2 linked regions of the Mus musculus genome follow. The protein of the gene in region 1 purifies or fractionates together with the protein of each later gene. This does not show direct contact. Links are inferred from orthologs where the notes say so. Each region holds a gene or a part of one and is shown in the gene's direction. Other genes may lie near its edges.

What was found. The genes of interacting proteins can lie anywhere in the genome.
Region 2: the proteins of Gnai3 (region 1) and Ric8a purify together in Homo sapiens (affinity purification with mass spectrometry; 3 studies listed by BioGRID and IntAct, counting the BioPlex papers as one, with this or other methods). This does not show direct contact. The link is inferred for Mus musculus from reciprocal best matches to the Homo sapiens genes GNAI3 and RIC8A.

The regions. Positions count from the first base shown.
Region 1 is NC_000069.6:108,115,088-108,118,732, reverse strand, and holds part of Gnai3 (guanine nucleotide-binding protein G(i) subunit alpha), read left to right. Parts: intron 1-274; coding exon 275-432; intron 433-2,841; coding exon 2,842-2,970; intron 2,971-3,645. UniProt on the Homo sapiens protein: Heterotrimeric guanine nucleotide-binding proteins (G proteins) function as transducers downstream of G protein-coupled receptors (GPCRs) in numerous signaling cascades.
Region 2 is NC_000073.6:140,855,890-140,860,215, forward strand, and holds the start of Ric8a (synembryn-A), read left to right. Parts: upstream 1-1,507; 5' UTR 1,508-1,581; coding exon 1,582-1,665; intron 1,666-1,955; coding exon 1,956-2,003; intron 2,004-2,092; coding exon 2,093-2,683; intron 2,684-2,973; coding exon 2,974-3,065; intron 3,066-3,549; coding exon 3,550-3,700; intron 3,701-4,326. Other genes in the region: Bet1l (BET1-like protein), read right to left, coding at 332-350.

The DNA.
Region 1 (3,645 bases):
AGTCCATCAAGAGACCTTTTCTGAGGATGGCGGTATGACATGGAGAATTAAGAGGAAGGCAGATCATTATTCAGCTATTTGTATTTAGAATTGTAGTGGGAGGGTGGGCTGGGGATTTAGTTGCTAGTTTTCTCATGCTACCTTGTCAGGAAAGGTTTCTATAGCACTTCTTCTAAACTATGATTCTGCGCGTGCACATAACTGTGTGAAAAATGAAACTCATTTAGTAAAGAAGTGGGAATTCATCTGCCCCTGTCTTAACTGTTTTTCTCAGGATGATGCCCGACAGTTATTTGTTTTAGCTGGGAGTGCTGAAGAAGGAGTCATGACTTCAGAACTAGCAGGCGTGATTAAACGTTTATGGCGAGATGGCGGGGTACAGGCATGCTTTAGCAGGTCCAGGGAATATCAGCTCAATGATTCTGCTTCATAGTAAGTGATTTTTTTTTTCCTTTGAAACTGTGATAGACAATAAGTTGGTAACTGAGCAGTGGTGGTACACACCTTTAACCCCAGAACTTGGGAGGCAGAGGTGGCCGGATTTCTGAGTTTGAGGCCAGCCTGATCAACAGAGTGAGTTCCAGGACAGCCAGGACTATACAGAGAAACCCTGCCCCCGAACAAACAAACAAATAAATAAATAATAATTTGGTGACTCTAGAGAATGTTCATTGCCTATCCTTAAGGAAATGTTTAAGTACTAATGTCCAAAAGTTTGTAGGATCCTGTATTACAGTTGTCTCACTTTAAGGTTATCTCAGAGATCTATTTATAATAAGCAAGTAAAGTTGAGACATCTAGATGCCCTCCGTATAGGACAAAGCACTGATAGCCAGCTAGAGGGGTAACACCCCATTACACACACTCACTCTCACTCACACACACACACACACACACACACACACACACACACACATACAGAGAGCTGCCCCACCCCTTGGTTATTATTGTACTTGAGACTGGATCTCACTGTGTAACTCTGGCTGGCCTAGAACACACAGAGATCCCCCTGCGCTGCCTTACATGCTAGGATGAGATGTGCAGCACCACCACGGGTGTGCCAGTCCTTTTATACTCGATGTACTGTGAGGTTTTCTGGTAGTAGTCATTACACTTAACCTTTTGTGAATGTGTGTTGTACTAGGGATTAAACCAAAGCCTCGTGCATGTGGGGCAAAGGCTCTACCACTGAGTTTCCTCCTCAGCCCTCTTGATTGTTTGAGACACAATCTCGCTCATGCTGACATTGAACTCATTCCGTAGCCCTGGCAGGCTTGAGTTTCTGACCACTCTGCTTCAGCTTTCCGAACAGCTGAGATGACAAGCCTGTACCACAAAACCCAGCACCGTGCACCTCTCCTGCCAGACTGCGGTGGTGGCTTCTGTGGGATGAGGACATTATCATACAATAGAATGAAGCCTTTCTTTATCAAGGAAGCTCACTTGAGTGTTAGTTTTAGAGAATTGGTAACTAGTACTTTTATTCACTGCTACATTTGATCCCATTTTGACCCCCCGACACATTTATATATTCATGCTGTAGTTTTAAAGTTTACTTTTGGGGGACCTGGTGAGTACTTGACATCTGTACCTCCTGCCCCCCACACCCCGCCCCCCGCCCCCCGCCCCAATCAAGATAAAGGACTTTTGGTTGTTAAGGTATTTTCTCTAGCCTTATATTTTCCCATTCTCATTCTGTCACAATTGTTACAAGAAATGGTATATATAAATGCTATTTATAAAGCTTACTTATAATTTGACAAACAATAAAAGGATTCTTGCTGTCTTTTTAAAACTAAGATTATCTTTATGTGCGTATACTGGTAGTTTAAGCAATTCAGTGGCTATCAGAGGTAAATTTTTAATCGTTTCTTCTGTCATCCATTGAGTAAGCTCTGACTCGCCAAACTACATGTTATTTATAAAGTTGGGTCCCTCTGTCACTGTTCATCCAAGCTCAACTCTGTTAATGGTGGTATTTGGTTTGTAGATGATCTGAATGGCACACTTAAAGTAGTGCATCTGCTCTTTTTTTTTTTTTTTTTGGTCTGGAATCAGTGAAGATTTAGCCTTTGTCTTTCCCCTACTCTCTTCCCCCTTTTTTTGAAATGGGGTCTTGTTACATAGCCCAGGCTGGCCTGAAACTTTGTATCTTCCTGATTTGTCTCAAACATGTGGCCTCTTGCCTCTGCATCCTCGGGTGCTGGGTTTATAAGCCTATACTCACATATCCACCTATATTCTCACTGAATGTAGTTCTTCTCATTTTCATATCAAGTATCATTCTTTAAGAAGCTGTCAAATAGTTATGTATGCAGCTGACATAAATTTAAGTATCCAAGAACTTTTAACTTTTTGTTATTTTATTTTCATATGGGTCTTGCTCTGTAGCCCAGACTTACCTGGAATTCATGGGGTCCAGGGTTACAGGTCTTTGTCACAATCCCAGTTTGATTTTGTTTTTTCTGCTCTATAGTGCATAGCTCACTTCATATTAGATTTAGCAATAATACAATTGCCATGTTTTTAAAATTTGCTTTTACGGTATATTTAAAACCATTCTTGTTACTGTGTGTAGAACCTATTAATTTCCCCTATACTTGATTCACTTTTTTCACTCATTCTATGATACTGAAGATTTAATATTTTTCTGCCCTTCAGTGAGTTTCAGGGTACCTTTGTTTGTTGTTTGTTGGCACTTGGGATTGAACCTAGGCCTCACATGTGCCAGTACTTAGCCAGTCACAGAATTGACTTTTGCCAAGCTGCTAGTTTGGTCTGTTGATTTGTCATGTCCATGGTTGACTTTACCAAGTAAAAACCAATATGCATTTTATTTAGCTACCTAAATGATTTGGATAGAATATCCCAGACCAACTACATTCCAACTCAGCAAGATGTTCTTCGGACAAGAGTGAAGACTACAGGCATTGTGGAGACCCACTTCACCTTCAAGGAACTCTACTTCAAGTACGTCATAGCCTGTTCTTGCCTGGGTCTGGCACAAAGAACCAAAAGTTTTTTTGCTTTTGTTTTTGAGTCAAGATCTCATGATGTAAACCTGGATGACCTAGTTCTTGCTGTGTAGACCAGGGTGGCCTCAAGTTTGCATCTTCCACCTCTGCCTGCTGAGTGCTAGGGTTGCAGGTGTATACCACATGCCTGGCTTACTGACTCCCCTTAGTTAGCCTCTCTGTCTGGGGGTAAGATCTTTGTAAGCAGTGTTCCTTGGTTTAGAAACTTAATATTTAAGAGCCATTAGCTCAATGTTTTATCTGATTACACCCCACACATTTATTTATTTTTCTCCTCCAGATAGCATCAGTATTTAGAGAAAATTAAATGTAAAATTAAATAATAGTTTACCTACCATTAGAATTCATTATACAATTATCATTTTGTGTTTGTTTACATTTTCAGCACGCTTTTGTTAGTTGCCAAATAGGTATTGACTATTGCTAGAAGGATCAGAGCGTACTAAATAGGTAGAAAATAACGTATAGATGGCTTCATCCTGACGTGCTGACGTGCTGACAGTAAAACAGGACTATTTCTTAGCAGCACCACTCCTCTCAGACGGCTCCCCTTCCCGTTAAGGTTAATGGGCCAGAGCTAAGCTTGGGGGCCTTGGGTTTGTACATGCAC
Region 2 (4,326 bases), on another chromosome or scaffold:
GTCATCGTTGTGGGCGAAGCATCAGTATCACAACTGTCACACTGAACACAGGCACGGGGGCGGGGAATGTGTGTGAACCGAGGCACTCAGGCCCCTCATTAGTAAAACCCTGCTTGGACCCTCTGCTTCCAGCTCTTGGCATCAACCACACACAAAACTGATGGCATGCCGGCTTGGGTTCCAAGGCAGCGCCAGGCGAAATCCGGCCCTGTTTTTCCAGGGATACGTAAGCGCCACCCCACGCAGGTCCTTCCACCGAGAAACGAGCGATGTCTCCAGCTCCAGACTTAGACTTCCCCTCCTACCTCTACTGCCTTTCAAGTGCTCTCACCTCGAGTCCAATCTGCCATCGCGCCCTCCAGGGTCCCACTCAGGGAATTCGCAGCACAGCAACGGACGTGGCACCAGTACCCGGGTCTTCCGGTTCCGCCTCCGGGCTAATAACTTCCGGGAGAAGGTTCTGAAGCGGAAGAAACAGACCTGGAGTGCTTCTCGGGAATGTAAATAAGGGAAGGGCGGGCCACCAGCATTCGGACCCACGGATTGGTCAGCAATATTAGTCCTGCGCTGTGGGTGTTACTCGGAGCAGGTGTTCAGACCCAAATTTGGAGCAGAGGCTAGGAACCAGCTCAGTAAATCAGTCGGATGCCTCTGGCGCTGCTAAATCCAACTGGATGGGGAGGACAGGCAGACCCGAAAGAGACTGGTGAAGGAGACGGCCGGGGCCTGCCACTGAGTAGGGGCAGAGCCGGTTAGCACGGCGGGTGACATCATCCACTGGAGCACTGTTTGTATGTGTCACTGTGGGGCACCGACTCAGCTAAGTGGCGTGCGGACCTGGCTCCCCGCTACACAGCGCTCCTACGCTTCTAACCTCAGACACGCCTCGGCTGGCCGCCCCTCCGTTGCTCCTCTCGCGGGAGTGGCTTTTCCACGGGTGTTCTTCACTTCCTTCTCTGCAATTTTCTTGAGAATAACCGTATTACTTTGGTGGCTATTCTTTTTAGATAGGTCTGCTAGTTTCTGCCTCTCGAGTGCTGGGATTTAAGAAGGCGTGCGTCACTATGCCCGGCTAACCACGTGCATTATTTTGACCATCCAAGTCGTTGTACTTCTCTTTCCCTATTCCCTATGGAAGATGAGCTCCAAGGCCTGGATCGCGAGAATCGTCTTCCCCAACTGATTAAGCGGCCAGGAGCCGGCGCTCCCTTTTTTATCACAGTACGGGGACAAGAGCGTAAAGAGGACGGTCCACGCGCGGGCCAAGCCACACCCCACTCCCCACCCTCCCATCCCACCCCACCCCCCGCCTGCCAGGAACTCGGGCTAGAGAGGAGGGCTCAAAAGGAGGACACTGCCTGGCTGGTTAGCTAGCATCGCCGCTCCAAGACTAGCCGCTCAGCGACCACAGCCGGGTTGCTCCACCTTAAGTCGGAGGCGCCTGTACACACCCTTGGGTTCGGCTGCTCTCCCAGCATCCCTCACGCGTGGACGCCGGGCTTCCGGACCTGGGCGGAGCCCCGGGGTTTGGCCGATTGCGTCTTCCCAGCCCAAGCCTTCCAGCACCCGGTGCCAGGGGCCATGGAGCCCCGGGCAGTTGCGGATGCCTTGGAGACCGGAGAGGAAGATGCGGTGACAGAAGCTCTGCGGTCGTTCAACCGGGAGGTGAGAGGCATCCGGCTGCCGAGGAAATTTCAGGAAGAGAGGAAGCAGGGGTGTGCGCGCAACTCGGCTGGGGTGTGCGTGCGAGTGGTGGCAGGGAGCACGGCGGTGGGTGGTGGGCTGGTCCCTCGGGTGGCTCTGTGGTGGCGTGTGGTGGGGCAGGTGTATGGGAGGCTAGGGTGGGCCTTGCCTTAAGGTTCAGAGCGATGGATGCTGCTTCAGAGGTCTGCTCTGACTCGAGGAGCACGGGTCCTACCTGCATGTGGATCTGAGCCTCCTGGGTCTCCCTGCAGCATTCTCAGAGCTTCACCTTCGATGATGCCCAGCAGGAGGACAGGAAGGTAGGTGTCAGCCCCAAGGGCTCCTAGGGCAGGCACGGGCTGACCCCAAGAAGAGGGCCTAGTGGAACCACTTTTGTTCGACCCCACAGAGACTCGCAAAGCTACTGGTCTCCGTCCTGGAGCAGGGCTTGTCACCAAAGCACCGTGTCACCTGGCTGCAGACTATCCGAATCCTATCCCGAGACCGCAGCTGCCTGGACTCATTTGCCAGCCGCCAGAGCTTACATGCACTAGCCTGCTATGCTGACATTACCGTCTCAGAGGAACCCATCCCACAGTCCCCAGACATGGATGTCCTCCTCGAGTCTCTCAAATGCCTGTGTAATCTTGTGCTCAGCAGTCCAACAGCACAGATGCTAGCAGCAGAGGCTCGCCTGGTGGTGAGGCTAGCGGAGCGTGTGGGACTGTACCGCAAGAGGAGCTATCCCCACGAAGTCCAGTTCTTTGACTTGAGGCTCCTTTTCCTGCTAACAGCCCTTCGCACGGATGTGCGCCAGCAACTGTTTCAGGAGCTGCACGGTGTACGCCTGCTGACTGATGCGCTGGAACTAACACTGGGCGTGGCCCCCAAAGAAAACCCTCCGGTGATGCTTCCAGCCCAAGAGACGGAGAGGGCCATGGAGATCCTCAAAGTGCTCTTTAATATCACCTTTGACTCTGTCAAGAGGGAAGTTGATGAGGTAGGTTGGAAGTCTTGGCTGAGACTCAGTTCGGGTGGGACAGTTTGCTTCCCTTTGTACCTCAGCTTGCAGGGTATCAGATATGGCGAGGACTAGAGGATGGTGTAGGCGGGAACTCAGGGAAGGTGCCTGAGCCGCACTGTGCATGGGGTTGCAGGTGGGTATTCTCCACAGTGCTTCAGGTGGCCAAAAGCACCACATGTGCTGTGCACAGCGTCTAGGGATCAACTCCATGTGGCCACAAGAACAGGGGTTCGATCTCACAGGAGCCCCTTTCTGTCTTTGGTTAGGAAGATGCTGCCCTTTACCGGTACCTGGGGACTCTTCTGCGGCACTGCGTGATGGTTGAAGCTGCTGGGGACCGCACAGAGGAGTTCCACGGGTGAGGGGTAGGGCTCACAATGTTGGGGACGGCAAGAGTTCCTAGGTATGGGTACAGAAGTCCTTAACCCTAGTTGTGAATCAGAAGCACTTGGGGGCCCAGGCCCCACCTTTGACTTCATCAGGGGAATGGGGCACCAGTGTTGTTTCCAGAGAGCCTAGGTAACTCAGGTATGGCTAAGAGAAGAGCTATGAACTTAGAGACAGGGCCTTAGGCGGAGGCAGTATGGTCTCTTGCTGGTGCCTCTGCTCATCTCAGGTTCGAGAGATTGTTTGGCATCTCAGCTCAGACATAATGGCCCAGATAGCGTCTGCAGAATCTCCCCACCAAATTTGAGTTGGGGTACCACCTGCCCTTGCCTATAGTCTATTGCTTTCAGTGCAACCCTTCGAGCCCATCCATGTGTACCCCAGGAGAAGGGCCAGGGAGTGTATCTGTGCTAAATATAATTACTGTGTCGAGGCCTCTGTGTGTCTGTCCCCAGCCACACGGTGAATCTCCTGGGGAACTTGCCCCTCAAGTGTTTGGATGTGCTTCTGGCCCTGGAGCTCCACGAAGGATCCTTAGAGTTCATGGGAGTTAACATGGATGTGATCAGTGCCCTCCTCGCCTTCCTAGAGAAACGTCTGCACCAGGTAGGACTGGGGGCCTGCTACGTGGACACCCAGGGGCTCGGGCACCTGTTGTGACTGCTGTTTCTGAACCATTGGTACTGGCGAGTAGAACTCAGCTTGACGATATATCGTGGACAGTTGCTCTGACTGCTCTGTGGTGCAGCTAGACGGTGGCCGCTCAGTCAGGCCCTCGCAGAAGCCTGCAGATACACTGTGTGTGTGAGCCCTCCTGCTGCTGATTACCAGAGGAGAGCAAGCTTCTCGGGTCCCAAGGTGAAAGGTAGCCCTTAGGTCTCTGTGGCTCTGCTAAGTGGTTCTCAGAAGCCTTTAGTTCCCGCTTCCAACCGTCAGGCTCCTCGTGTTTCTATACATGGGCAGCCAGAGGCGACATTGTCCCTCTGCATTTTTTTGGTTTTGTTTTGTTTTGTTTTGTTTTCAAGACAGGGTTTCTCTGTGTAACTCTGGCTGTCCTGGAACTCACTCTGTAGACCAGGCTGGCCTCAGACTCACAGAGATCTGTCTGCCTCTGTCCCCTGAGTGCTGGGATTAAAGATGTGTACCGATACCACCGTCACCCCACCCCCACCCCCCAGCTGTCCCTCTGCATCTTAAAGAGGCATAACCACAAGTAATCTGACCCCTGTGGG